Alligator mississippiensis: one gene and its partners. The protein of the gene in region 4 interacts with the protein of the main gene of each other region in a pairwise test. Links are inferred from orthologs where the notes say so. Each region holds a gene or a part of one and is shown on either strand. Other genes may lie near its edges. The genes, in order: HNRNPC, SH2D4A, PRRC2A and GRB2.

The links.
Region 1: the proteins of GRB2 (region 4) and HNRNPC interact in a two-hybrid assay, tested with the Homo sapiens proteins (2 studies listed by BioGRID and IntAct, with this or other methods). The link is inferred for Alligator mississippiensis from reciprocal best matches to the Homo sapiens genes GRB2 and HNRNPC.
Region 2: the proteins of GRB2 (region 4) and SH2D4A interact in binary tests that used the Homo sapiens proteins (3 or more experiments, as listed by UniProt). The link is inferred for Alligator mississippiensis from reciprocal best matches to the Homo sapiens genes GRB2 and SH2D4A.
Region 3: the proteins of GRB2 (region 4) and PRRC2A interact in a two-hybrid assay, tested with the Homo sapiens proteins (2 studies listed by BioGRID and IntAct). The link is inferred for Alligator mississippiensis from reciprocal best matches to the Homo sapiens genes GRB2 and PRRC2A.

What each region holds. Positions count from the first base shown.
Region 1 is NC_081830.1:3,830,612-3,838,602, reverse strand, and holds the start of HNRNPC (heterogeneous nuclear ribonucleoproteins C1/C2), read left to right. Parts: upstream 1-4,988; 5' UTR 4,989-5,096; intron 5,097-6,261; 5' UTR 6,262-6,418; intron 6,419-6,696; 5' UTR 6,697-6,722; intron 6,723-6,728; exon of another isoform or gene 6,729-7,147; coding exon of another isoform or gene 7,148-7,361; intron 7,362-7,991. Other genes in the region: probable G-protein coupled receptor 132, read left to right, coding at 1,928-2,815. UniProt on the Homo sapiens protein: Binds pre-mRNA and nucleates the assembly of 40S hnRNP particles. Interacts with poly-U tracts in the 3'-UTR or 5'-UTR of mRNA and modulates the stability and the level of translation of bound mRNA molecules. Single HNRNPC tetramers bind 230-240 nucleotides.
Region 2 is NC_081825.1:132,233,197-132,240,523, forward strand, and holds the start of SH2D4A (SH2 domain-containing protein 4A), read left to right. Parts: upstream 1-4,313; 5' UTR 4,314-4,738; coding exon 4,739-4,913; intron 4,914-6,210; coding exon 6,211-6,361; intron 6,362-7,274; coding exon 7,275-7,327. UniProt on the Homo sapiens protein: Inhibits estrogen-induced cell proliferation by competing with PLCG for binding to ESR1, blocking the effect of estrogen on PLCG and repressing estrogen-induced proliferation. May play a role in T-cell development and function.
Region 3 is NC_081834.1:58,509,490-58,517,200, reverse strand, and holds the start of PRRC2A (protein PRRC2A), read right to left. Parts: upstream 3,017-7,711; 5' UTR 2,817-3,016; intron 1-2,816. UniProt on the Homo sapiens protein: May play a role in the regulation of pre-mRNA splicing.
Region 4 is NC_081831.1:12,480,656-12,487,730, forward strand, and holds the start of GRB2 (growth factor receptor-bound protein 2), read right to left. Parts: upstream 3,012-7,075; 5' UTR 2,901-3,011; intron 1-2,900. UniProt on the Homo sapiens protein: Non-enzymatic adapter protein that plays a pivotal role in precisely regulated signaling cascades from cell surface receptors to cellular responses, including signaling transduction and gene expression.

The DNA of each region.
Region 1 (7,991 bases), on a different chromosome or scaffold from region 4:
TCCCACCTTATATGTGCTCTTTCCTTGTGTGCTTTCTCCTGCTTACCACATTGTGGCTGTCTGCAGAGATCTTCTCAGCGTCACGGAACTGAACCACAACCTTACGCATTTGAAACCACTGAAAGACACCAGCTTAGAGCTAGAGCGCAGCGCCGAGCTGTCAACACACACCAAAGCAGCAGCAGGATCTCAAGGTGAGTGCTTTATGGGGCTCTCTGCCCTTACCCCCATTTGCCCAAGGAGCAGAGGCCAATGACCATCACCCACGTGGCCGCGCTAACCTTGGCGGCACCGCAATTGTCTGCAGCCCATGGAAGTGCAGGGGGTGGACCAGGCTGTGATAGCGCTCTGCAGCAATGAGGCACAGGAAGCCATTCTTGGCATAGAAGTTTGTGATAGCGGGGGTCGGACCCGATGATCTGTTTAAGTCCCTTCCGACCCTAAATACTATGCTTCCTTTCCCCTCTCTTCCCCTGAGCTCCCAGGGAAGCCAGCAGGACCCTGCTTGATTTCCCCAGCACAGCTCAGAAACACGCTGCCTTAAGTATCTGCGTTTTGCTTGGTTTTGAGAAGGTTTTTGGCATGATCCAGTCTGACAAATTCTGGCCAAACTCTATGATGCTGACTCCTGGGGCCTCCAGCTGATGGGGAAATAAGCAAAAGGGGAATAAACCATGCAACAGATAGGCATGGCAACATGGAGAAAGGGGTGAGCGAGGTCTGCATCCTTATGCTTTCATAACTCAATGCAGACACGGAAAGCGTAATAGAACCGTGCTCCAAAAATTCCAGCGCAGGACCCAGGCATTAATGGGATTTATATAAATGTACCTAATATATGCAGATAACCTTGTTTTAATAGCTTCAGCTAGAGCAGACCTCTAGAATATGCCTAGTGCTTGTACTATCAGGACAAGGCAGAAAGAAAATCAGACAGAAGGAGGCGGAGAGCCAGCTATGTTGGCAGCGCTGCAAGACAGCGTCGGGTCCAAAAGAAGGCAGGTACGTTACAGCTCTGCCATGGCAGCAAATGATGGGAAGTGGTGATCTGTGACTTGGGACTGGGAGACAGATGGAACCGCAGTTTCCCAGGAACGTGAATGCAACAGCTGCATTTCCGCCAAAGTTCCTGAGGGAAGATGCGAGCAAAGCCCAGGGGTTCAAGCTGTTGAAGACTAGCCTTGACAGCTGCTCTCCCTGCATTGCCCCTAAAACACCTCAAGATGATTGCTCATGCTGTTGTGCAGGGGGCTGTCTAGAAATCTCGCTTCCGCTGCTGCGAGTGACTTGCTTTGCTCTGCCTCAGCTGAAGCCACCTTTACTTAGTGTTCAGCAGAGATGCAGACAAAGCAAGGGCTCTTCTTCCTTCCCCAGCTGTGAGATGCTCTAGGGAGGTCACTCGGCCAGAGCGAGAAAGCCCTCCGCCAGTCCCGACCTTTGTGCCTTTAATTTCTGCTTGGTTTGCTGAGGTTTGCAGGGATTTCCTTGCTTTTTAGAGTGAAAAATAAAAGGAAAGAAAAAAAATAGCAAGTCATTGCAGATCTGATCAGGCAGCCCAGCTTGGCTACAGCATTTGTTGCAGAGGACCAGATCCCAGTGTGCAGGCTATGAAATCCTGACCACTCAGCCTGATAAAGAGTGGGTGAGTGGGGGGAGTTGTGTGGTCTGCATGTGCCCCCAACCCTACCGTATCCAGATTTTTTGTGTCTTTTGTAGATCCCTTGAGGAACGGGGTTTGGGAGTCCATAAAGTGACTGTGCTCCCTCGGCGAGGCAGCTCCCTTGGAGAAGCAGGTGAGGCGATCTTCAGGAGCAGAGCTCGAGGCCCTCCTTCCTGTGGGACAGGGACTAAGGCTCTTGGCAGACACCCCGTCCTCTGCTAGGGCAGAGAGTACATCATGAACGACAACAACAGCTGTTATTGCCCCATGGCTTTTAACACCACCAAGTACTTCCTCGTTCCCATCTACTCCGTGGTAATAGGGACTGGCTTGCCTCTGAACTTCTTGGCACTCTGGGTCCTGGTGTCCCAGATCAAAAAGGCTGTGGTCCTTTCGGTCTTTGTGATGAACCTGGTGGTGGCTGACCTACTGCAGACCTTGACACTGCCCTTCTGGATCTACTACAGCTACCAGGATCACCGCTGGGACCTGGGGGAGATCACTTGCATGGTGGTCCACCTGATCTTCCTCACAAACTTCTACGCCAAGAACAGTTTCCTGTGCCTCATTGCTGCAGAGCGCTATCTCGGCCTGGTCTACCCCCTGCGCTTCCACGGGCTACAGACAATGCGCAGTGCTGCCACGATCAGCGCAGCCATGTGGATGATGGTCATTGGCTTCTGCTCCTTGGGCAACTGGCTGCAGAACCTGGGGCCAGACCGCTGCTATGACTGCTACCCACAAGTCATAAAGTACGTCCGTTTCCGATGGGCCGTCTTGAGCATCTCCTTCCTCCTACCCTGCTTCTTCATGGGTTTCTGCAACATCCAGGTCCTGTGCAAGATTAGACAGGTGTCATCCCTGGAGCAGGAGAAGAAGCAGCACATGTGCTGGTTTATGTCCTTCATCATCATCTCCTTCTTCCTGCTCTTCCTCCCTTATCAGGTGAATTTCTTGTTGAAGCGCCAGATGACGTCACCAGACTCTGACACGTGTCATCTGGAGAAGAATTTTTTCACTTACAGCCAGGTGGCAAAGAGCATCCCCACATTGGGCAACATCACAGATCCCCTTCTCTACATCCTGCTCCTCAAAGAGGGGAGGGCAGAGCTCAGGAACTGCTTCAGAAACATGGTCTTGAGATCAGCGTCGTAACAAGGTCAGACCCAATGCCACCATCCTCCTTGGCAGGGGCAGAGGTGCGTGTAGGGACTGCCCTGGGTAGGATTTTTCAGGACAGTCCTGAGTGGCAGGGCTGCATCTGGGCATACGTGATGACTACCTGATCCACCCCAACTTGGGAATGCTGGCCCTGGAGTGGCCCCAGGCAGCGTCCCCTTGCATCTGCTGAGGGGGAAAGCCCAGTGCTGCCTGCAGCTTGACTGCCCCAGGGGAGAGGGGGCCATGGCTTTGCTCCAGCTAGTCCACTTGTCCCCCTGGTGACACCCGGACATGGCTATACTAATTAGTTCTGCTGCAGTGGCATATGCATGTAGCCATGCTACTTCCAGCAGCTGCCTCCTGAGCGAAGAGCAGCTCTGTGCCTCTCAGCAGAGCCAGGCAGCCTGGCCACAGCATCGCTGTTATAAAAACCGGAACTAGAAGCGGTGTGAACAGCTTCTGCTTCTGAAAGACTTGGGGGCGGGGCGTGGGATAGCGGTCTGAATTTCGACCACATTGGAGTAGGGTTGGATGGATGCCAGCTCAGACCTGCGTCTAGACTACTGGCTATGGGGGCACGAGCCTATCTGTTTTTTGAGGGTTCATCTGTCCAATCCTGGTAAGGCAGCAAGTGCCAACCAGCAGTCGGCGACCACCCACAGACACTGCTGTAATGGCAGGCAGCGGCGTCCGCGGGCTGCCCACAGACGCTGCCGGCAGTGTCGGCAGCAAGCAGTGACTGCCAGCAGTTTTGGTGTCGCCTTTGGGTGCACCGCTACACTCAGGGGGTGTATGCATCGCCAGTGATTGTGCATCGCCAAATTAAAGTAAAAATGCTTGGATCTTTCTGCCTACTGGCCTTGCACCTTCACAGGGCACGATTTTCAGCCGTTCTCTGCCCCGGGAGGGCTTAAAATTGAGAGTTTAGTGTCATCACCCGATTCCAGAGTCAATAGCTGTGCGGGAAGGACTGGTCTCTTGAGAGCTGGCAACACTGGACAGGCGCTGTGTGAAAACCAGTGATGGACTGGGATCTAGGGGAGATGGTTGAGAGGCGATAGAGAGCAGCTGGTCCCTGCAGTGCCAGGCATTGCCTGTTTAGAAAGGGACCAGGGAAGTTCTTGGAGGAAAGCGGCGGCAGCAGCTATTGAGCAGGGGTGCAGGGCATGTGTACACATTTGCTTTCATGTGCATTCGCCTGCTTTATTGCACATTAAAGCATCACAAAAAAGCTGTGCACTTTTGCTAATGTGCATTAAACGAATGTGCCTGTTCCAGTAGCTCTCAGTGGAGGTACTAGATTTAATGAACATTAGCAAAAGCGCATTAATGAACGTGGAGAAGCGCCCTAAGCGCCGGACGCTGCAAGAGGGAGGGAAACCCCTGGGCAGACCCAGTTCACTCGCAGCCCCCTCTCTCGCCCCACCCCCTCTGGCAAGGGTATCAATGATTTCAAACTGGCCAATGAGCGTTCGGGAAAGGCAGCGCCCAGCAGCGATTGGCGGAGACGTGACCAATCCGCGCCAGCCCTCTCCCTTCCACCGAACGCGCCTTGCTCGACAGCCGGCGCCGGTCTCTGACAAGGGGAGTGTGGGAGGGGAAGACAGGAGCCGTACGTCATCCCCCACCGGGACCAATAGAAAAGCGCCCATGCCAAGGTCCTGGCTGCCAGTCACAAGCTCCGCCCCGCTCCCTGGGGCTTTTCCCGCGAGTCTTTCCCTGTTCATCCCGCCTCCTCGACTATAGCCTATAAGAGCTAAAATTACCGGGGAGTGACAGAAGTTCCAGCCATTCAGGGTGGATCGATGCAGAGAGGTGGGCCCGTAAAAGGCTTAATGACCAATCACAGAAAGACATGAGGCAGGGGCGGAATCGAATGTGCCGTTCACCCAATGAGAAAAGACTGCGGCGTGGACTGACAGCAAGTTTAACCAAGCAGAGGAGAGTGTTGGGCTGCGGGAGTAGAGCGATGGGAGCAGCAGCCAGTGGTTGCTTACGCCCCCACTCCGCCGAGGCAGGGGGGGTCGAACCCGCCGTTTCCCACCCCTCAGAGTTTCCTCTCTCATTGGCCAGTAGCAGGATTGACTTCTTTGCCAGCCAATGACAGTGAATAAGGCTGTTCCCTCTCTTCCAATGGGGGCGGGGACGGGGTGGACTCGGATTAGTCCGGGCTGAGCGGTGCAGAGGGCGGCGTGGGCGCCATTTTGTGAGCAGCGCGGAGCCAGGAGGCCGCGGCGGGAGCGCGAGCGACTCGAAGTCTGAGCGGGGCCTAGCGGTGAGTCTGTCGTTGCTGCGCCGCTGCACGCAAGGCTGAGCTGGGACAGCGCGGGGCCGCCCCCCCGCGGTGTGCTCCGCCTCCCCGCGCCATTTGGGGGTAGCGGACCCCCCCCGCCCCTCGGCGCGGCTCTGCCCGGCCGGGAGCGCGGGGGAATCCCGCCCCTCCCCCGGCTTACAATGGTGCAGTCCAGGCACCACAGCCTGTTCTCCTGGGCGAGACCATCGCGGGGCCAGGGGGGGAGCCGGGGAGAAGAATGGTACGGCTCAGACGGGAGAGACCACCATGGCGGGGTGGAGGGGATGATATCGCTGAGGGGCGGCCGGGCGCGGGCTGACCAATGGGAAAACGAGGAATCCGCCCCCCCCCGCGGGGGGACAATGGTGCGGCCTGCAGAGCCCGGTTTCCCGCTTCTTTGGGACAGACCAATGGGCGCGCAGGGGGGGGCTGGCGCCTTCACCTCCATCCCCACCTCCCCCGCCACGCGGCAGTGGTCTCGGCCAGGTGGGGGTCTGGCTCCCGGGGCCTGTGCTGCAGGGGCACGCGGCCTGGTGGGCGGCAGCTGGAGCAGAGCCTCGAGTGGGCAGGAAGAAGGGGCTCCTGTCTCGGCCTGCCGCTCTCTGCCTGCGCCTCGGCCCTGCATGCGGATCCCTGCAGCCAGAGGGCACGGTCCGGGTCCGGCCCCCGCGGGCCTCACTTCTCCCCCTCCCCCCCCTTCCACCAGGAATAGGCCCCCTCGCCTTGCCTCGCCCCCTGTTCCCTGCCGTAGGTAACGCCGGTGCCTCCGGGGAGGCGTCAGCGTTGCATCGCGTCCTGGGCTGGAGCAGGACGCGTGCCCCCGCAACCCCCCCGCACCCTCAGGGCAGCTTGAGCTCCAAGGATCCTCCGTCAGGATAGGCTCGCATGACACTTCCCCCCTCCCCGCCTGCACGATGCACCCCCCCCATTCGAATCTCCTCCTGCCGCCGTGCTTGACGTCTGAGCTGCTTCCTTGGAGACGGAGGAGCGGAGCGGAGGGGTTAGCGCAGGATTGGTGGCAGGAGCCCTAGCTTGAGCGCTCGGGGGTCCCTGGAGGCAGGCAGGCCTTTCTCGGGGCGGGGGCGCGGGAGGGGCGCGCAGCGTTTCCGAGGAACCCTGACTCAACCTGTCCCTTCTCCTTCCACAGGGCAGCGAGGCGAAACCCCATCCCTCCTCACTGGAGCTCAGCTTCGTGTTAACCCCCTCCCCCCCCCACACACACACCTCCCCATTTTATAGAGCCCTTTTAACAGTGCCCCCGGGGCTCAGCGCTCCCCGCGCCACGCTGGAGCTGGATTTAAGATGTAATTTTGCAAAGTGTCTATTTTTTTCTGCAGCAGCTGGGTTAGAGAGGAGGAGCCTTTTAGCCCCTCATGAGCTGACCTCTCGGGTATTTTTAGAGTGCAGTGGTGGTGTGCAAAGGGCTTTGATTGTCTCCTACCAAGAGCTCTCCCCACGTGGCTCTGTGGTAACCACAGAGCGCGAGAGAGAGGGAGAGAACAGAAATGATCGTTGCTGACTTGACCTTTCGGCACCTCCCGTTTTTCTAATCTGGGCTATTTTTATTTTTGTTTTTTTACAGCGAGATTTTTTTGATCTTCAGCTACAGTAAGTTATTCCACATTTTTTTCCATTTTTCCTGCCTTTCCACTGATTTCCTTTTTATTGTTGTTGCTAGTTACTATTACTATTATACTACTATAATGCTGATGACTTTACTATGCTGATATATTACTGATGGTGATGATAAATGACACTGCTGATTTTTAACCAGATGAAATCGCGTTTTTCTGAGTGTTCCTGACTGAGCTGGGTTTTTACCCTTTGTGAGAGACAACAAGGTTTTTGCATTTTTAAAGTGGATTGATCACGCTAACTCTTTTTCCCCCCCTTGACTGCTGAGATTGGGACCTGGTTTCTCCTGAACTGTTTTAGAGCGTCTCTGGAAGTCTGTATTTTTATTTTTTCTTTTGTTTTTTTTATTTTTTTATTTTTTAATCTTTCGTTTGTGCCATTTTTAAACTTGCTGCCGTATGATGTCTGTGGTGCTGATCGCCTGTGGTGGCGATGGCCCTTCCCCAACAGCCCCCTCCTCTTGTGCCCCCAAAACCCTCCTCCTGCTCTCTTCCTCTACGCCGTCCTTCCCTCAAAACAACCCACCACCACGCCACGGACACCTGGCCTGGAGCGGCAGCAACAGCCAATGGAACCGCCCGTGGAGCAGATACAAACCCATCCCAGGCGATGGTAAGAGGTGTGAGGCCAGTAGATTTCACTGTGAGCTTTGGCCACCAGAGCCACAGGCCCAGGCATGGAGGAGTCCCCAGCACAAGGATCCTGTGTTATACCGCAGGCCTGGTTTAGGGTTAGAAGCACCATGTCACAACTGTCACCTTGGCTGGCAGAGCTGTGTAGGAGCGTGGTGGGAGCCCTGGCGCTGTGGCCTTAGTGCTGGGAGAATAGACCCCGCAGGGAAGGCCCGGCTATGGGAACCGCAGCGGCTCTGCAGAGCTGGTGCCCCACGTGCCGTGAGCAGTGCTTCAGGAAGACATCTGGGTTTGACCTGGACAAAGGAGGAAAAAAAGCCATGGGAGTCTTGTTCCCCTGCCTTTGGGCAGGCTGGTCCCCTGCTAAAGGGGAACCTTCCACCTCCTGTGAATGTCCTTCTGCCTGCTTCCCCCTCCCTTTCCCCAGTGAGGAAACCATCTCTGAGCACAGGACACCACATGAGACCTAGAACAGTGCATAGAAGCATGCTGTCCCTTGTAGTGGGATGGCAGGTCAGGCCTGGAGCCGTGTGCAGGAACAGCGTATGTCTAGAAGGCTTTCTGTGTTTCCGTGCTGTGTCTGCAAAAGCAGCAGGAGCTTGAGCCACCA
Region 2 (7,327 bases), on a different chromosome or scaffold from region 4:
TCCTTGTGTCCTCTCTCTAGCCCTGACATCCACACTGGTCAGTGATTAAGGGTGAGAGCCCACAAAGTCTCATCTGCTTCTACAGGACTCTCCCCCACACCCTCTTTGAAATTGCTGGGAAAGGGGGTAGTTGGATAATAGTCTAGATACTCCACTGCTTTATTGGAGGCAACAAATGAAACTTGTCCAGTCATGCTGCAGATTCCCATTCAAAATAATCTTCATCTATTGGAAATGTAAATGAGTTCACTTCTCCCTCCCTCCAGGGCTAAATTTTCAAAAAAAGAAAAAAATTGAGGGACAGGGTACATCAGGAGTTAAATTTAGCTCAGAAGAGCTAAGCCTGGTGCCCCTGGAAAAGTTCAAGAAATCAAGAAGACTGTATGCAGTCGTCAAATATATTTTGTTATAAGGTCCTGTGAATTCAATGTTCATCTCAGCAAAGCGCAATAGTTATTGTAACTATTATAAGAAACTATTATACATGGTTGTGAGTGGAGTCAAATAGAAATAAACATGAGAACAGTATGTTACAAAAGAAGAATAACTTGCTTCATTTATGGGTGTGCCCAAAGAAAAACACCATAGAGGAAACTGGAGGATGGTTAAGATTGAAATATGCACAACTGCCACATCCGTATTAGGGGTAAAAAAAAATATAATGCTAAGTAATCATGGAGAACTAAAGATATCATGAATCTTAGGCTAGAAATTGATGTCACTGAATGAAGCAGATCTGTTGTGCCACAATGTGTTGCAGCACAGCAGATTCACTTCATCGGGCAAAACACATGTTGGCCCTTGTCTAGCTCCTGATATACTCCTTTGATTATAGGGGATGGGTCTCCCTGAATGGGGAAGGTTGGGCTTTCTCCTCTCACCCAGACACGTTCCTGTGATTGTGGGAGATAGGTCTGTAAAATCAGGTACAAGTAGCCCCCAAACCTCCAAACATGCATACTAATCAGGATATGCAGAGAAAGAATACACAAAGTTGCCATAACAGTCATAACCATAAGAAAGCATATATTACATAAGCAGGGTTACAAGTGTAAGCACATTGTATGTCTGAGCCCTTTTTAAGGCCGGAGTTAAGGACGCAGTGTACCACAGGATCTTGTAGTCTGCCTTCCTTAGGATTGCCAGGAAACGCTTTATTCTGACCTTTCAACAAACCTACCCAGATGGCACCAAGCACTACTGTCACTAGATGTGGAATGAGCTGACCTGATATCTAGTCTTAAAATGTTCTTTCATCAATGCTGATCTTGCTTATTCCTGTATTCTGGATAGCTGGTGCCTACAGGTGTCTCAGTATGTCTCACTGAGCCTTCTGACCTATGCCCAAGGGGCTTGATCCTCCCTCAAATAGCAAAATATTTGCTGGCACTTTTAGGCCAGGTACAGACATTACACCTTTACCAGTATAAGTGATCAGAAACCAGTCTATACCCATAACAGAACAAAAGTTCAGCACACAAAACTGGTCTATACTTGTAACAGGTTAGATGTTTGGCACGCATAGACTGGTTTAAAAATGGCAGAACTCAGTCTAAGATTCGCTCCCGCCTCCCCCTCCCACCAAAAGGCAAATGCGCATTGTGTTTACAACTAATCTAAACTACACCACTTATAGAAAACCATGTAACAGATCAATTCTGCCTCCGGCCTTTTTAATGTTTTTTATTTAGCCTTAACCAGTTCCTCTCAGCTATGCTAGCCCACCAAAGGTCAACCAGCCAAATCACAACAGCACTACCAAAGGTCTTTGGCTACAGAACATCAAACTGGGGAGTTCAGACTTTTAACCATGCAAGTAATAAGCAGCCAACCATGTGGCTGCACAGTGTATATTAATGGATGTGGTGGAGCCTTCATCACTTGAAGTCTTGCAAATAGGACTAGACTTCTTCCCTCAAGATGCAGTCAAGTTCACGGGAGAAGGTGTGAGCTAATTGCAGAAATGGTTTTATTAATTTTCCCATAGGAAGCCAGACTGGCTGTACATATGATCCCTTCTGGCATTTGTATCTATGAATGCATGAAAAAGCAGGCTGGACAAAAAATGATTACCCCTGCAGATGTGCACAGCCTTTACAATATGGGCAGCAGCCTCTGAGCACAGTCACCTGCCCCTGTACTGAGGCGAACCAGATAACAAGAGGAATGCTGCCCCAGACAGGCTGGCTGGAGATGGGTAGCAGCAGTGCAAACTGATAAGGCTCCTGAATCACTAGCTTCACATACATGCTCTTGGCCTATACTAGGTTTTCAAGGTCAGTATATTCCTACAGTCCTATTTTGCTTCATCCTAGCAAGAAAAGATGGCAGGGGTTATTTGAGGATGGTTATGATCCAAGAGACTGTAGAGTATGGTCCAAACACACTTGTACTGTCCTACTGTACATCTCTGGGCTGGTTGCAAGCAGGCAAATATCCCAGAACTCTAAGTTAATAAAAGAGAGGTATTACAGTTTTTACTTCCACCTTCAGGGCTTCTTGAGATAGGTCTTGCTCAAGACACTTGGGTTCCATTCAACTCTTGATCAATTGTCTCACGCTTAGTTGGCAAAGCCCCTCTTTGGAAAAGCAATGGCAAAATCTTTGGGAGCCTTAGACTGTATCTGCCACTTACATTGCCAGAGAACTTGTGCCCAAATCCCACATTGCTAACAGATGAATGGGAAAATTAAGAGATTCATTTCTAGAGCTGGATGAACTCTTTTTTTTTGACCAAATAGCTTATCTGCAGTTTCAGGTCCTGGCTGTGAAATGATTCATACATGTGGGTCAAATTAAGCAAATAGTTTTGGCTGAAAAAAAAATGGCAAAAAAGAATTTTGAGAAACCCACAATGCTTTACTATCACATTTTCAAAATGCAAATCTTTGATTTTGAAAGGATCTTTTGTTTAGAAATGTAAATAGTTTAATGGAAAGAATGAAAACACCAGAAATTGCAAGAAAAGCTTAATTTTAGTTTGCCTTCCCCCTCCGCAATGTGCAGACCCTGGCTGAGGGTCCATTCCCCCTCACCCACTCCCCCACGGCTGACAAGTTGGGGACTGGTTATGGGGCAGGGCTGGAGCTGGGGCACTCAGAGCCTAGCAGAACTGTGCTGTAAGGGAGAAAAGCCCCCACCTCAGAGGTTTTCCCACCCCTTCCACACCCGCTGTGCAGTCCCTGGTTGGAGGGAGCTGGGGCTGGGGCAGGGGTACATTCCCCTCCCCTCCCCCGCCCCAATCCCCAACCCTTTGCCACTACCAGTGGGGCTGGGGAGACTGCCTAAGCTCTGTGACAGCTGCGGGCGGCCTCCCAGCTGGCCAGGAGCAGACAAGTTGGGGCAGAGGTTAGCCTACCCAATCAGCAGGGGGTGTTAGTGAGGGCTGGAATACATCCTGGGATGCCGGTGGACTGAGACCTAACTTATGTCCAGAGGGGATCTGGGACAGAAGTTCAATAGATGGGTTTAACCTGAATCAGTTAAGTCTGATATTACATCCATCCAGGCCTCTCTTAAACTAGTTTTGACCATTTTGAAGCTGTTCTATGTGCACTGAACTTCTGTTCTGTTACAGGTTTAAACCAGTTTCCAATCACTTATACCAGTTTATGTATAATGTCTGTCCCTAGCCCTTAAGTCCAGGACAAAGAAAGCAGTGCACAGGCTGGTCTAATGGACTCTGAGGCTGACTTGCATTTGATTTCTAAAAGTTCAGGCATCAGAAACAGCTTTGAGATGTGGCAACTACAGCCAAACCTAATTGTGGAGCAGACTGAGTGGAAACTCAAGGGAGAGCAGGTGAAGACTTTCACTAGGAATAGTTGAGTATTTCCAGTTTGCTTGAGAAGGACCCCTCATGTACACACCAGTATTTTATAACCAGTTCCTCATCCCAGATCATAGTACCATACTTCTATTTGTGGAGATATGTCCTTGCCTATGGAGGGTTTCCCCCTCCTTCCTGTTTATCTCCTTCCATGGTTTGGAGGTACTACGCAAGGGAGATGAGCAACATTTTTCACACCAATAAAAATATCACCCCTGGACCTTCTCAGCTCTTGTCAGCCTATAGCTACTTCCAGCTCTAGTGGCTTTGAACAAATTGCCCTGCCTCTTATGCTGTATTGGGGATAGTGCACTGTAACTTGAGATTCTGTGGGTGGGGAGGCCAAAAATCACTGTTCCTCCCACTCTGTGCTTGCTTAGATAAAATGGGGCATGTCGACCTTTTAGCCTTGTATGGTGCATTCTCAGTGGTTTCTTTTTTTTCAAAAGGTGTGTGGGAGGGAGCAGGGAGTTTCCTAGCTGAAGACCCACAGGTTCATTGGCCTCTTGAGCAATGGTATGTTTGCCTACCCAGAAATAAGCCACACCTCTGACTTTGTTATACATGGAGCGTTTTTTTTTGATACAGTATCAGATGAGATTATCAGGGTGCAAACATGGTTTTCTCACTATGAGCAAAGTCTATACCAATTTGTCCCTGAAAGACCAAGGAGACGGGGAATTCTAATAACAGGTTGGAAGCTGTTTATTTACTTTTCTGGCATCTGTGCAGGAAGTCTGAGCTAAAATAGGTGCAGAGACGGGAATATAATTACCATAGGAAGCCTGCATTCTTGCTGTGCGATCAGTGTGTGCAGCGACTTGCGGGCCCAGGCATACCTGAGTGACAAAAGAGAACCTCATCTTTAAAACTCATTGCTACCAGTGTGAATACCTGAGAGACACAGCCATGCTGAAACAGATTTTGGCAGATATGTACGTTGATCCTGACCTGCTGGCAGAGCTCAGTGAGGAACAGAAACAGATCCTCTTCTTCAAGATGAGGCAAGAACAGGTCAGACGGTGGAAGGAAAGAGAAACTGCCACAGGCAAGAGCTCAACAAAAAAACCTGCACCAAGGAAAGGTAAGACTCTGCCCAGAAGCAGATTCCAGCTCTCATTTCCCTCCCTGACAAACAAAGCTGCTTCAATGGGTGCTTTGCAGCCGGGTGAAAAGCATTTCTAAAGAGATATTGCTTTGGTTAGGGAAGCACAGCTGGAAATGGTTATAAATACAGTTTCCTGCCATCACAGGTGCGGTTTGGGTTCAAACCTTGGTTTCTGGCTCAGGCAAGGTGGGGTTGGCTTCCAAGACTGACCTTGGTCAAACCCCTTCCATTTCCCTGCCTTAAAAAATGGGAATAATTGTCTGTCTCATCCATGCAGACTGTAAGCTTTTTGGTACAGGAGCTGTGTGTATGTATAGTTCCCAGCCTGATGGGGTCTCTAGATTCTCCAAATAGCTGCTCAAGCACCCATTCAGCAAGACCAAGGCTGAAGCAGTATGGGCCTTTGGACCGTGCAGCTAAATGGACTGAGATATTTCAAATACTTCTCTTCTGGGTGCATACACTTGTTTTTCAGCAGCCCAGTCCATGCCGTGTTGGCAAGTCCTGTTGGAGAGGCATGCAGAAAGCCCTGTCTGGGCTGGCTATATCAGCAAGCAGGCAACAGCATGACCCTCACAGCCAGCGAGAGGTCACATAGCATTAAGGTGGTTCCAGACCTGAGGCCATGCTGGGATTTTCACTAGCAACCACATTGCTCTGTTAGGCATAGGAGTCCCTGCCATTCCTTTCTCCCACGCCATTAACCTTAGGGCCAAAGAGGAAGCATGGAGCAGCAAAGACTGGTCTCCACTGCTGAGGAACCACCTTTGTTCCTCCAGGCAGTGTCCCCAGCCATGTCTTTCATTGAAACATGGTTCAATGAATTACAGGGAGTTTAACAGAATAGGCAGGTAGCTGAGCTCCCTTACAACATCCCCAAGAAAAGGGAATAATACATGGTGTGGGTTGGAGCAAGGGAAGGGGCCCTCAGTTGGGAAAAATGGCTTTGGTCTCCCTCATAACCATGATGTAATACAGAATCCCACCAACCTCAGTGCAGTTGCTTGCTACACAGCTATGGGGCAAAGTGTGGGAATCTGGTCCAGCCAATACTCCGGTTGAGGGAGATATTGTTCTACAAATATATGTGGCATGTCAAATTGCTAGCAGCTTCACCCATAACCTGTGCTCCTTGCTGCCTCCCAGACCAACCTGCTTTACCCAAAAGTCCCACCAGCTGCCTGGAGGAAGGGAGGGCATGGAAGGAAAGAGCTAGAGCAGCCCCTGAGGTTGCCGTTCACCCTGCCCAGCCACATGAATGCTTGTCTTGCAGCCAAGGGGAAGTCGGTGAAGTGGAAGCTCGGAGCAGACAGTGAAGTCTGGGTCTGGGTCATGGGTGAGCACATGTTGGATAAGCCATATGACATGATCTGTGATCAGATCCTTGCTCAGAGGGCCCAGCAACAACCCAAGGAGGAAGTCAGGTAAGGCAAGCCTCTTTCTAAGAGCAGGTTCAGCAGGTTTGCAGCTGCTAGCAGGGATGTGTCACTAGTGAAAAAGGAGGGAGCCATCATATTATATAGGGAGGGTAATTGGTGCAACATGAAAGGGAGATCTAGGATGGAGGCAACTATTGTGGGTTCTTCAATCTGGATCCTGTCAGACTGGATCCTCCTTCCCCATCAGTTTCATGACAAGCAGCTGCAAAGCTACTGGACCTACTGTGTGTGTCCTAACTGGACCTATTGTATGTGCCAGAGCACTGCGTGGGCTGCAGGGCATACACTCAAGTCTCAGGGCACATGAGGCCTGGGATCTTTGAAATCTAGGAGGTGTTTTCTGTTATGGAGCATGTGACTTGAAGCCTGCAGGAAGCCAGATATCAAGCTAGAGTTGTTCGACCTGCTCCTGAGCAACTAGCAGGGTGTGGGCGTGTGTTGACATCCCAGTTCATTTGCAGATGCCAGAGGTGTGAACTAAGGGGTTCCCAAGTGCTCCCTACCTCTGCCATGCGGGAGCCACATTTAGCCCTGCTGCCTGCTGTGCCAATAGGAGGGGAGCTCAAATCCAAACCCTGGGGTGGTGCCCTTGTAAAATGGGTCAGGAGTAATACCTCTGTACAGTGCTAGGGGTGCAGTAATACCTGTGTACAATATTTGGAATGGTCAGTGTCTCTGCTACCAGAGTAGGTGACATTTGAGACTATTAACAGGGGCTCCTGTTGCGCAGGAGTTAACCTGCCCAGTGAGTGATACCTTTACTTGCCCTGGGGCTTGTGGTGCTCCTCAGTCTGAGAGCCTTCCACACAATTGCTGTGTTTGCATATGATTTCCCTTCAGTTGCATGGAAGGCACCAGGCTTATTTGATTTCCAAATCCCATTTTTATCTCTTCACAGAGAGAGTCAAGCATTGACCAAGCCTTCCATAACATGGTCTCTGCATTCTCAGC
Region 3 (7,711 bases), on a different chromosome or scaffold from region 4:
ATTAACAGAGCCGGCGGGCGCCTGGGTGTTCTCTGCAAATCAATTAAGAAGCCATTAATCCCCACTGGCACCAGTGTGGTTGACTAGGAGCTCTGCAGCCGGGGGTTTGGGGGGAGCAAAGACACCCCAAATTCAGACACGTTTCAGCTAGGTCTGGGTGTTCCTGACCTAATAAAACATGGTTAATCCTCTTTTTGCCCGCCAAAATGGATGCCTCTGGTCCATATTCATGGCTGAGGGATGCGTTTATGGGGGTGATGCAGAAGGGGGTAGCTACAGACCTTCATCTTTGCCCCCCCCCAAATCTGACCCTCCCTCAATATTAAAGAGGCTGAAGGGTTTGGGGGGACCCCCTTAACCTCCTTCCAAGCCTAGGGTTCACTCCAAGACCAACGATGGGCTGTCTACTCCTCCATGTCATTCATCTGCCCAGGCCTGCACCCCAAAAAACCCCCCTCCCAGAAGCATCCAAGGCACCCCCAAGATGCCCCCCCACCAAAACGATCTAGCCACCAGGAAATTTTAGGGGGCAAGAGGAGCTGGGTTTTCCCTCCTTAGAGCTCATCTAAAGTCCAAACCAGAACAACCCCCACCTAGAACCCGCTAAGTTTTCTTATTTATTTGTCCAATCTCTCCTGGATTTTCCACCCATATTTTAATACCCCCCACCCCGGACAATTAAAACCTCCAAGCTAGATTTAATCATCTGCCTTCGTCCTGTATTCGGAGATACCAAGCCCTCTGCAAATAGTCTGTTTTTATTTAAACCTTCATATTTCCAAGGGGGTTTCTACTTCTCAGTGGCAATTTTGGGATGGGGAGGGTGAGATGGGGGTCCCTGCAGACCCCTGAACGTCACACGTACCTCGATGAACTTAAAAGGAGAGCGGCTGGCAAAGCCAGAGTGGCTGGTATGAAAAAGGTCCTTTGCGGCCTTCTGCCAGGAGGGGGTTAAAAACCAATGGCTTTTATTGAAGCAGAATAGGTGAGAAAAATCCTGGGAGGACAGAGACCCCAAAAGCTCTGATTTCTGCCCCAAAACTGCATGGAAATAAGCCCACCCAAGTTTGACTGACAGTGGGGGCTGGGTGAAACCAGCCCCTCCTTTCCCATAGACCCTCCTCCCAAGTTAAAGGGATGGATATCTATTCATTGCTGGGGGGAATGACAGAAGAGGGGGAAGCTCCAGACCTTGATTCAGTAGTGCCCCCAATATGTTGAGGGCTGAGGGGTTCTGGGGTGAAGCTAGACACCCCTCCAGCCCCCCTATCACATGTGAAAGGTGGCTCAATGGGCACAGGGGTGTTTCCAACGCAGGTATCAGAGAGGGCATGTCCCATATCAATCAATGCCTACCCACCCAATGCACCCCAACAATCCCAGGAGCCCCCAAAACAACTCAAGGGGGCATTAAAGGCAGCTCAGAGGTCACAGGGGCACTTCCTAGGGGTTGGGCGGTATCAGGGAAGGTATCCCCCAAATCAACGCCCTCCCATCCAAGACACTCCAACAATCCCAGGAGACCCCAAAACAACCTGCAGAGGGGAGCACAAAAGGCAGCTCAATACCCCCCACCTCCATCTGAGACACCCCAACAATAAAGGAGGAGCATGAAAGGCAGCTCCAGGGCTATGGGCACATCTTCTAGGGGATATCAGGGGAAGCCCCCCCAAATCAAGTCCCCCATTCAAGGCACTCCAACAATCCCAGAAGACCCCAAAATAAGTGAGTATGGGGGGGCTGAGCTAAACCGAACACCATCCCCAAACCAGCACCAAAACAAGCAGAGCAGTGAAAACGTACCCCCCCCCCCCATTTCCTGGGGGTGCTGGGTACCACTGCGGAAGCAGCCCGGCGGGCTGGGTCTCACCGAGGACCAGCACTGGTTAGGCAGGAAGGTACCAGGGAGCGAAGCCCCAGCCCCCCAAAGGCAGTGGGGGAACCCCGATATCTCACCCCACTCCCCCAGGTAGCCTAGCATCCCCAATCCATTTCAGATGCCCCCAAAAAGCTGACGGGTCCAATCTGGTGGCTGCCCCCCCAAAACAAACCTACAGCCATAAAGCAGCTGTTTCCACACATTTTGGGGTGTCTCCGACTTTGAAGGGGGGGTTTAAAAGGGTCCCACTCCCTGCTTATACCCTAAATCTTAGCCCCCTCATGCACCCCAAAACCTGGGGGGTTGGGGAGGGTGTGGCCACTGGGGGACAAGGGGGAGCCCAGAAAACCTCCAATTTCACCCTCAAAAGCTACAGCCCCCCCATAAGTCATCAAGGGATACCCCAACCCCCTAGAACAGAAGGGACTGGTTTACTGGGCAGGGCTTTGCAAGAGCCCCCAGCAGCCTGTACCCCAAATACCCCCCATCCCCAATTTTTGCCTTAAAAACGATGGGATGAAGTAGAAGGGGGCTGTTAAAGGGCTGCCCATTTACAGCTCCCCCAAGCACCCCCTCCTCCACCCCATGGGGGGTATATAATGGGTGGGGGGTTGGCCTCTAGAGCCTCAACAGTCACTTTAACCCCCCCCCGCCCCTTGGGGGACCCTGGAGTCCAGGGGGGTAATTAGTCCCCTTCTTGCCCCCCCAGCCAGTAAATAACCCCCCAGGGAGAGAGAGGAAGCGATTTGGGACGGGCTGGGGGGTCTCCCGGCCGGGGCTGGAGGGCGCCGGGGGGAGGATGGATGCGGATGAAACCGGAGGGGGGGCGGGTTAGGAAGCCGGGCACAAGATGGCGGAGGCCCGAGCGTCCCAGCGGGCTCCGCGCAGCGCGCCTGGCCGGGCGCCCCGGGGAGGGTGTCCGCAGGCCGATACCCACCTCGTCGGGTCGGGTCGGGCGGGCTCCGCTCTCACCGGCCGCGGGGTCCCCGGGAGCGGAGGGGGCTTCCAGGCGGAGGATGGCGGCGGATGGCGGCGGGTCCCCACCCCCTCCGCCCAGCCCAGCGCCCGATGTGGCAGCTTCGGCGTCTCGGCACCGACTAAACGGCCATCCGGGTCCCAGGCCCCGGCGGCGGGGGAAGCCACGCCCCCCACGCTGCGTCGGGGGCGGGGCTTCCCGCCGGCCTAGGCTGTGGAGAGCGCGCCGGGGATTTGCATAATGCCTGCAAGGGGGGGGGGGGGCGCAAGCAGCCTTCGAGCTCCGTCCTGATATGTGTAATCTATGCAAAAGGGGCGGGGCTTCCTTCCCCACGAGGAGCGCGGCTTTTAAGCGGTTTCTGATGTGCATAACTTAGGCAAACGAGAAGGGCGGGGACTGTGTCCTGATTGCATGATTACAATACATAAATTAGACATTAAGTTATTACATCATGCATAAGTTAAACATAGAAATATATAAATATAATATAAATATAACAATACATATCAATACTTTGCATAATTTATGGGTATGTGATGCAAAGGGGCGGAGCTTAGCCGCAGGCAAGAGGAGCGCTTGGCATATTTTTATGCAAAGAAATGATATGCAAATAGGGATGTATGTCCTACATGGGTATCCTGGGGTGGGGGGGCAGCTTGACCATAAACAAGAACCACCTGTAATCTACATAATTTATGCAAAAACCTTCAACGGCATGCAAATGAGGGTTCCTCTGCCTTATGTGAGTGCACACTTAAGGTGAAGATGGGGCCATCATTTAAAATAAAGGTTCCTTCTGCTTTCTCTCCTGTATGCGTAAACTATGCAAACGAGCCACAGCCTGATTTTTCAGAAACTCATTGCATAATTTATGCCAAGAGAGGGGCAAAATATGTGCAATGCAAATTGGGACCGATAGGCCTGATGGCGGAGGAGGGGCAACTTTTAGAGTCTGCTTTCCCTATGTGATGCCTAAATTATGCTAATGAGATACAGCCTGGTATTTGAAATTACTCTTTATATAATTTATGTAAAAGAGGTGGGGCCTTGTAGCAGGAAAACTAGGAGGTGGAGGAGGCAAATGCATAATCCAGTCTCTCCTATTATGTCATAGTATATGAGATACCCCCACCCCCATATATAATCTATTATTATAAAGCTATACTACTATTGTAGCAGAAAGCCCCCTTTTCCTCTTGCCTGCATTTGCTCTCCCCTCTTTGGGTATGTTTCTCTTTTTCTACCTTTTCTTCCTTCCTCTTTCACTTTAAGATAAGGAATTGTGTTTTAAAATTTGTATGTGTGCATTTTGTATCTCCCCTTGTAGTTTGGTATTTTTATCTATTTGTGTGCCATGGCATTTGTAGCTTATATTTTATACTCCTCACCTTTCAACTTTCAACTAAATGTGTTTAGTTTCATAAGTAAGTTATACATTGTAACAATATTAACAAGGGCAGGAATCAAACTGCCCTTCCCTGTATCAGGCTGGCCCCTGAAAGAGCGAGTGAATCAGTGATTGAATGTGTAACATGATTGAATGTATAACAATGTAGCACACAGCAATTAACACCTGGAAGCTGCAGATCAGCCAACGGAAGGAAGAACTCAATAGAAGACAATGTATCAACCGGGAAATCTCTAAACCTCACTGATCAAGGGCTAGAAGCCCTGGCCTGAGTTAATCAACACCAGAGACCAACTTTTGGGCTGAATATCTCCAGATCGACCACTCCCAGAGCCCTATTCTAAATTCATCAACGGACTCCCAAACCGGCACGTTCATGCAGACGACCCCTGGGGCTGACAGATGCCGTCCAGTAGCCACCGAGGCGGGGGAAGTCCCACAAGGGTCAATGACCCCTGGATTGGGCAAACCTGAAAACTGGGGAGTCACCAAAGTCTGCCAGGGACAGATAAAAGGCAGTGAAAAGTGACCCTCAGAGGTGCCCTCTTGATCTCCAACTCGACCAGATCTGTCCAGCCAGAAGGACCAGCCAGTGGCCTCCTTCTGGAAGATAACACCACCCTGAAAGAAGCCTCAACGACAGACTCCAGCGCTTGTAGGATAGGTATACCTGACTCTGTAGCCTGCTACTATGTGTGTGTATGTGTGTGCATGGGGGGGGGGGAACCAGCCCCAAGGTTTATGATTTAACTCATTACAGTGTTTCAATCTGCCTAATAAACCAGAATTTTAAGGATCCCGAGTTGGACATTTGTAGCCAACACTATTATATTTACTATTGCTATCATATATTACTATTATACTATACTATACTATTGTTATAATACTATATGTTATAATCTATTATCTTCATGAGATATAAATAGATTTACACACACACACACACACATATATATCTCTCTCTATATATATAACAGAGGTTCTGAAACGGTGGTCCATGGACCACCCCTCATTCACAAGCTCCATTCAGGTGGTCCACAGTAAGAGGTTGCAGAACAATCCAGAATATCTTTACTTGTAAGGTTAGAATACTGATACTAAAATATGAATTGTGTGCTTTGATATTTAAAACAAATAAAAAGTTTATTAAGTGATCCACCGAGACTCTCAGCAATTTCCCAGTGGTCCGCAAAAAAAAAAAAGTTTGAGAACCACTGTTATATAATAAAGGGCTTAGTCCGTCTGTCTGTCTGTAATGCTCTTGGAGCACTCTGATTGGTTAGTGAAACAACCAATCAGAGTGTGAAAAGTTGCCATGACAGCAGGGATGGAGGGGACAGAGTGTGGTGGTAAAGCCAGCAGCACTGGCCTCTTTCCCCCCAGTTCATCCCTGCCATCATGGTGGTGCTCTGCCACCTCCGAGGATGAGGGCGGGGGGGAGCGGGGAGGGGGGAGACCAGTGGCACTGAAGGTGGAGGTGGTGTGGGGTGCTGGCCTAGGGGGACAGAGGGGACGGTGAGGCAAGCTTCCCTCCCCACTCCCAAGAGGCAGTGGTGGTGCAGGGTGGGAGGTGGCAGCGCTCCCTCCCAGCCTGCTCCCCACCCCATCTCCTGTTATTCTTGAAGGGCAATTCGCTAGTATCTCTCTCTACATATGTATGCATATGCACACACACACACACACACACACACACACACACACACACACACACACACACACACACAAGCATGTACATAAACACATGCACATATATACATAGACATACATGGTATGTGCTATTTTCATTTTATTATTATATATCATAACATACTTTAAATAAATATTATATATATACTATATATTATAATTTATTATCTGCATGATATATAAATACCCCCTCTTATGCCATTATACACCCTCCTCTTCTCATAATGGGTCAGTCCACCAGTTGACACCCCCCTCAAGCTGTTCAAATGAGCCATGCCAATCTCACCTGCTGTAATGGACTGCTCCACATTTTGAGCTGTTCCAGCCTCACCTACACCAATGGATCATTCCAGCAAGGGTAGTCTCTCTCTCTCTCTCTCTCTCTCTCTCTCTCTCTCTCTCTCTCTCTCTCTCTCCCCCCCCCCCCCCTTCCCCCGCCCCAGATGGGAACTTCTCTAACTACTGCAATGGACCATTCCACCAAGGAATACCCCTGTTTAGTGCATTAAAATGGGAGGTTCCAAGTGCCCATGGCTAGGTCATTGCACACCCAGGTACCCCTCTCCTTGTGGTGGAATAGTGCTCCCCCCCCATGGGATATTCCACTATCTGGCTATCTTCCCCAACATCATGTGCTTATAATGGGCCATTCCATTTAGGGACCACCCCGTTCATTAACACGATGATGTTTCTCCATACTTGCCTGCTATAACAGGGGATTGTCTACCCTGCTCAGCTCTATAATGGGCTGTTGAACCTGGAATTCTGCCCCCCCTCGCACCTTCTAAACTGGAACACTCCAACTGTACACTTCAATGGGCCAGTCTCAGTGAAACCAGCTGCCTCTCTTCCTAATGGCACATCCCAACCCTCCCACTATAATGGTCCAGTCCAAATCCAAGCAACCACCTACCCTTGTGCAATGGCATATTCCAGCCCTCCCAGGGGCTAATGCAACTGACAACATCCCCCTCCCCTATGTAATGGAACATCCCAAACCTCCCATTGGCTAGCCCAACTGTCAACATCCCTGTCCTCTATGTAATAGAACATCTCAAGGTTCCCATGGTCCAGCCCAGCAGCCAACACCGCCCTCCCCTGTGTAATGGAACATCCCAAACCTCCCATGGGCTAGCCCAACTGCCAACACCTCTCTCCCCTATGTAATGGAACATCCCAAGCTTCCCATGGTCCAGCCCAGCTGCCAACACCCCACTCCTCTATGTAATGGAGCATCCCGAACCTCCCATGGGCTAGTCCAACTGCCAACACCCCCCTCCCCTGTGTAATGGAACATCCCAAATCGCCCGTGGGCCAGTGCAGGGGGGGGGGGGCAATTATTTGGGCCGGCCCATGCCTCCCCGCCCCTGCAGCTGCCCCCAACCCCAAAGCCCATGTCTGCACTGTGGTGGGCTGCCTGCAGCTGGCTCGCTCCAGCCAGGGCATGGCCAGGGTGGGGTAGTGGGACACGCGCCACGGGCTGGATGGTGCCTGGACCAGGCGAGACTGGGGGACCAAAGTCCCTCCACGGGCGAGATTTGGCTCGCGGGCGGTATTTTGCTGACCCCTGGGCACCCCCACCCTGTAAAATGGACTGGCCCATTACACAGGAGAAGGAGGTGTTGCCAGTTGGACTGGCCCATGGGAGGATTGGACTGTCCCAACTGTAGCTCCCCTCCAGCCCTCAATGAACTATTCCACCTCAGAACCCCACCCCCCCAGGCCAAGGCCCCACTTCTCAGCCAATCAGAGCCTTGCGAGC
Region 4 (7,075 bases):
CTTCAATTTTTTAAACAAAAGATACAAAACCTATGAGTAAATATTTCCTGGAGGTACATCATTGCTCAAGGTGCTTGTGTAGTATAGGGGAAAACTCTGTTACAAAATGTAAAAACACAAGGTTCTTAGAAAAAAAAGATAGTGCAATGTTTCCAAGAACCATTTTGCTGATACCCTGAACTAGCAAGTTTCCTACCAAGCAAACAACTTTTTTCACAAGGTACAAGATGAAAAGACAGTCTTTGTAGAGATTTATTTAAATCTAACAAGCGCAAAGACACCACCTTTATTTTGATCTTCAGTACTTAAAAGAATTAGGTTTTTAGGTAACCACACTAATTAGCAATACTTGCCTAGGAGAGCAAGCTTTTGCTATGTAACATTCTTAATTGTTGGCAAAATGTCACTGAAGTTCAGGTATCCAGGCTACATACACACATACATATTTCTATTTAAATTATTATATAGCTGATGTCAGCTAAGGAAAGGAAAACAAAATCAGGAACATGTATCATACAATTTAAACTGCTCAGAAAGCTTTAGCTATGTACTACTCTTATCAGTACAGTGTATTGTTGGTAATATCTTGCACAACAAAAAACACATAGCAGCACAGGTAAACAACCTAATTAAGGAAGTGGGACTGCCAAACACCTTTGACAAACAAACTGAATCGGGAAAATAATTCAAAAGAAAAAATAAACCCAGTACAGTGAGAAAGTCTGTCTTGCGTAGGAAGTGGCTTGTGCTAGTCCTTTGCCACACTGCCCACTCTAAGTGAAGTTGCAAGTACTTATTTCAGATTAAGACTGGTACAGCAATTAAAGAGGCCATTTTACAGAGTATATTTTAACTCTCCAGGCAGACAGATAAGGTAAGATACACACACCCAAAATAAGAATACAGGTTACAAGAATGAAGGATTGACTAGAGAAGCAACTAAGATATCTCAGAAGAAACTGGTATGGTTCTTAACTCTCACATTCAGTTTAATGCATGGTGTTCACTTGTTTAAAAAAAAACAAACAAAAAACAATGGGAGGGGAAAAGAAGAAAGCACCAAGTGCACAACCTGGGTAACTTTTCATTTAATAGCACAGAGTTTAAATTTGAGACAGAATGCAAGTATTTGTAATGCACCAGCTCCTGCTGTCCACCATAAATCACAATTCCTATGACCCCTTTTCCTGAGATTTCACAAATACACAGGGGATGAAGACTATTTTGATATGGCTTCCATCAGTAAATGAGGGCTCTCTTGATTTAACTCTGCACTCTTGCTGTCCTGGAAAAAGAGAGGCAAGGGCAGAAAGAGAAGAACAGATAGCTTTGGAGGGTGGGAGTAACAGAAGAAAGAAAGGTTCAGTGGCAGTGAGGAGTGCATCCCGTGTTCCAATGAACAGCATAGGTTTTGTCATCTGGAAGACAAAAATAAGAGGGGCTGCAAACAAAGGAAGGCAGACTGAAAGAAGTCAATGTAGCAAGCCCATGCACTGGTCCGAGCTGCCTATGTAAGTGAGTACAGCATGTATAGCATGGTGCAAATTCAACTTGAAAACAAGTAAAAACAGGGACAGCCAGAATCAGAAATTATACCCCAACCTATCAACAATTCCGCAATTCTCATCCTTCATTTTGTACTTCCACTGGGCCAAATGTGGCTGGCTCAAAAACAAGTCAAGAAACAATCAACACCAGACTTTCAGCCTCTGGGGTGTTTCCCAATATTCAATATTCTTTGGCCAGGCCTTGTTAGGAACACGATCACCTTATCAGGGAACAACTGCTTTGGTTTTACCAAGACCGCTACTTTCTAGCTGCCACTTTCTTTCATACGGGAATGACTTTTTAAAATCTAATACAAGAGTTCTATTTCGGAATCTGCTACTATTGTGAAAGGCTTTAATGCAAGATGATGTCACCTTCTTAAGAGACGATAAAAAAATAACCCAAAGACCATTTGTTTTGGGCAAAGTATTGGATGCCAAGAAGTTAACTTAGGAGCAAGCGAATATGGGTAGCAATTTATTCATAAAAGAAAGGAGAAGTGTTTCCTAACCCTGATTTTCCAAACAGTATTCCCTGGCTCCAAATCAGCGGTCCTTAACCTTTTTAGACTCAAGGCACCCTTTGTCAGGCTCCAGGCGGCCCTTGGAAAATGCCAGCTCTTGGTTTTCACTCCATTTTTGACTATGGGGAAAACACTAGAGCAATTCTTCTGTTGCAATGAACACAGAAAGATCACATCAGGTCAAGATGGGGGGGGGGGGGGGGAGTTGTTTTTTTAAGGCTGTGGCTTCTTATTCAGAGTCCCCAGGTTTATCACACGAATCGCGTTTATCACACAAGCACATAAGCATCTATACACTATTATAAACGTAATGGCTTACATCAGAAAAAGGGGAACGTGCGGGGTGGAGAGAGGGAGGAACGACACCTCGGTGCTTCTCAACCCTTTCACACCCAAAGCAGTCCCCAGAAGAGGAGTTTCGCTCTTGTTTGGACTGCAGGACGAGAGGCCTCGGAGAGCCCGCAGCAGGGCAAAGCGTGGGTCACCCACTGGGATGCGGGTCTGAAGTCTGGGCACGGTTGACTCGTGTTTGCACAGCTAACGGGGCTGAACCCAAGGGGCCCCCGAAGTGCGGAGCCGGAGACCCCGTCGCCCTGCCTGTGCACGCCCCGGCCCGGCCCGGCCCAGCTCAGCCCGGCCCACCCCCCAGGCCTCTGCTCAGGTGCCACCTCCCGGTCCCGCGAGGCGAGGAGCGGAGCTCCACCAGGACGCGCGGCACAAAGGCCCCCCCCGGCCCCGGGGCGCAGCGCCCGGCCCCACCCGTGGAGCGGCCCCGCGCTGCCCCCAGGTCCTGTCCCGGCCCGCCCGGCCCGGCCCGGCCCGCCCTCACCGTGTGGCGCTGGAGCTCCGCTCCGCTCCGAGCGGCCCCGTGACGCTGCCTCTCCCGGCTGCCCCTCCCGCCGCCGCCGCCGCCTGGCTTCCGCTACCGCCAAGTCTCGCGAGAAGCACCGCCCGACAGGCCTCGCGCTGTCAGGGCCGCGCGCCCCGCCCACGCGCATGCGTAGTCTGAGCCCCCAGGGAGTGTGCGCCGGGCGCAGGCGCGGCCTCGCCAGTCGGCTCCTGACACTGCCAGTGCGCATGCGTGGGACCGAGCGGGTTGGCACAGGGGGCTTTATGGTGGGTTTAGTCGCCTGAAGCGTCCTTCGTCTGCGGGCACGAGGGATGTCCAGGGTGGGCTGGGGAGGCGGGTGCAGGTGTCATTTGAGCATGCTCAGGGAGGAGGGATGAAAAGAGAAAGGGAGGAGCCTTCCTGAGAACACTGCTCACATGAGAAGCTGAGAAATGGGTGCAAACCGACAGCTGAAACACATCTAGGTTGTGAAAGCCCTGGAGGACCAACTTGATTTGGTGAAGCAGGGGAAGCTTGTAGCTGTGGATAGAGAGCTCTGGGCAAGTCCCTGCCCTTTTTCCTCCTCTCTTTTTCTAGCCAGGTCCCAGGAATGCTCAGAAGATTAAATAGTTAATATAGGTGCAATGCTTTGAATCCTGAAAGTGCTACATACGCATTAAGGGCTCTGAATAATAATGCCCCAGGTGCCTCGAGCTGGGCATCCAAACTTAGTGGATGCTTTTACGTCTGTGTAATTACAGACTGTTTGCTTATGTGTGTGCGCAGAGGGGAGAATTAAGGTTTCGTGAGCAACTGTAATTCTAGTATTTCCTTTTTTGAGAGCGAGCTTGGCTCTGACCCCCCTGACATTCCTTTAACTATTCTTAAAAGTAATTACAATATAATCTCAAGTGGTTTCCTAGGTAAACATCTGGCTCTGATTCCTTGATGAAGCCAAGGCCTATTTAAAGAGTAACTCTTAATCTTGCTTTCCAATAAGAAGGCTGATTTCAAAAATAGAAGCTTTTTCTATGGCTACCCACCCACTCCCAGGATTCTGGTGCCTAAAGGATGTCACAGCCCACAGGCTCTTATCAGTTGGCTTCTTGGGGGTAGTTATTAACGACAGGCCAATTATAGAGGACTTTTTAGCCATGTCAGGTCTGTGAATGTGGAGTGTAGGAAGCGTATATATTGTGTTAATTAGAGATGAGACTCAGTTGCAAAGTTCAGATCTAGGCTTACCCAGATAGTCTGTATATAAGAGGTGACTCAGGCCTGTCACTCATGGGAATTGCAAAGCATTTTAATTTATTGCCATGTAAAGCAGTGTTCAACTTCCTGCCCACTGGATCCAGACCAGGACCGGTCCACAATTTTTGGGCCCCCCTGCAAAATATAGTTTTGGGGTCCCCGATGCAAAGAAGCCAGCGTCAGCAGGGGAAGGGGTGGCAAGCGGCCGAAGAAGCCAGGGGTGGCCAGATGCAGGGGGCCCCTCGGCTGCTGGGCCCCCTGTGGAAGCAGGTTTTGCAGGATAGGACGGGCCAGCCCTGGTCCAGACATTTGGTGCTGGGGGAGCATTCTGGACCCCATCTGCAGGATCCAGACCAGGGGCAAATTTCCATGTCTGGTCTGCAGGGCCAAAAGTTTGAGCATCATTCGTCTGAAATCACTTATTCTTAATTTATAACGAGACTGAACAACAGTGGCCATTTATATCAATAGGTCAGTTAGCCTCTCCATGACCATTGTAGGAAAAAAAAATCTATGCAGCAGGAGCAGCCCTGTATCAAAATATATTTCTTAAAGACATGATGATTCCACTAATGCAGGGGTCAGCAACCTTTGGCATGCATGGCACGCAAGGCCATTTTGCTCAGCACACCACTGCCAGCCTGGGCTCTAAGCAGCTGCTGTCAGCCACGGAGCCCAGGCTGCTCCCAGCAGGTGGCTGGGAGGCTGCAAGCCCTGCTGCAAGCAGAATGGGCTCCATGGGCCGGCTGCAGCTGGGAGGCTGTAAATAGCTGCTCCAGGCTCCAGCATGTTGGCACTTCAGCACCTTCCAAGGTAGACATTGTGTTTTTTTCAGCACTCTGGTCAAAAAACATTGCCTACCCCTCCACTAATGGCTCATGCAGGGTTCTCCCCTGATTCGGGCATTTGTAAAGATCTGGTTTGCTAATGTGTCAGCTCTAAGTGTCAGAACCGTTGGATACATTTTCTTTTCTAAAGCTGTTTGGAAATTAAGTTTTCTACCTTCCATTATCAGCAAGATAATTTCCTGCACATAATAACACTATGCTTCACAGGTTTTACTTTCGTCTTGGTTGGGGTAAGATTCACACCCTCCCACTACTACACATGCTGTTTCACCTCTGAATTATTCAAAAATCGAGTGAGGGTGGGAGAAAAGAGTGTTAAGGGGGCTGAGGATGTTGGAAATGATGCAGTAATTATCATCTATTCTACATATGGCAGACAAAGAAGTTAAGTGACGCATCCAAGATCCCATAGTGACTCAGTGCCAGCATGAGAAATAGAATTCAAGACCCCGAGGTCTCAGTCCCCAGGGCTAGCCACTGCAGCAGACACTAGGGTCTCTGGTTTTGTGTATTCAGAGGGACAATTTGGGAATTCTTAAGAAACCACATGAGAAGGGCCATATCAGTTTAAGCAAAGGAAAAAGTATATAGCAGGTACTTACTAGCTGGTCTGGAAAAAAAGATAGATATAGACAACAGCTGTCAGTTGTAAAATAGCTGCTTTAAAGTTGCAGCTGCTTGACTGACTTTGCTTATTTGAAACTGCCTTTTAAAGTCACCATACTGGGAAATAAATCTTATATGAGAGAGCAAACCTTTTGATGAGTTGTTTGGGAGCAAAGAGTTTATAGAAGTTACTGGGGTGTTATTATTACGGACTAATTAAATACATATCTTTAGGCTGTATACAAATCAATTAATGTTTAACAAAATAACTATGTATTTTCTTAGAAATATGGTGGGATGAAAGTCCTGCTATCATAGAAATTTAAATCCTGATACACAACTTTAGCAGGGATTTAAAAAAAAAGGCTACAAAGAGTCTGTGTTTTGAGTCTGAGGATTGATTTCAAATCCTTATTGTAGTGTATGAATAGTTTGAATTTTCTTTGGCCATTTGTGGTTGTAAAGTGAAATCTAAGATTAGTTCCAACTATTTTAAGCAGTGGCAAGTGAGTAAAATTTTTCTAGTGTCTGACATTTCCTTTTGGGCCCCTTTTTAAATGTCCTGGAGCAGTCTGAAGTATGAAATTCAATGTGTGGTTCTTTGCTATGAATAGGTTGGAAGACGACTTGCAACATATTTTGTATGAACAGCTATTGAAGGTTTAAAATGTCTGCTTTGAATGTTTGTATCTACACAATGTTACTGATCAAAGTCAAAACTGTTATTAATGCCATAAAATGTAACAGTGGCGTAGGATTTATATTGATACAGTATGACTGAAGACACAAGCCACTGTGAGAGTACTCATGCAATCTTGACACCACGTTTGCCCTGATCTCGCTAAATGTCTGAGAAATGCTTCTGAGTACCACACTTCAAAAGATAACAATTGCAGACCAGTGTAGCCCAGTGTGGCTTTGACCCTCGCTAGGCGCTAGGCCACAGATTGTGATTTGTGTCTGCTGCGATCTTTGAACTTGTTCTTCAGCTCAGGTAATAGAAGCTAATGATTTTACATGCAGTTACCGTACAATGTAATGCAATGATTCTGGTCACTTGGATGACAACTGATGCAGTGTCTTCTATACTATGAGTCAGAACGCCTACTCTTTGTGATTGAGAAAGTGAGAATTTCTAGCATTGCAGCAAGTAAAGACTTAGCTTAGGGCCTTTCTTAATACACCCATTTTTTGGGTGAGTTTCCACAGCATACCGTAGGAGACAGCCAGTAGATGCCCCCCCAAGTTTTGCCACTGCTTCAGTGCTGCAAGTGCAATAAATATACTTCCTTGGAGCACTGATATGACAGGTTAAAACTAACTAGGAAAACATTCAGGCTCCATGTTTCTTCTCTTTCAAAATAATGGAGAAGTGACCTCTTGCTCCCTTGTGTTGAGATATGGCAACTTGTAAAACTTCAAAGACTGTTGGAAGCTAGTCCAGGAGTGTCAGCGCTTGAACGAGAG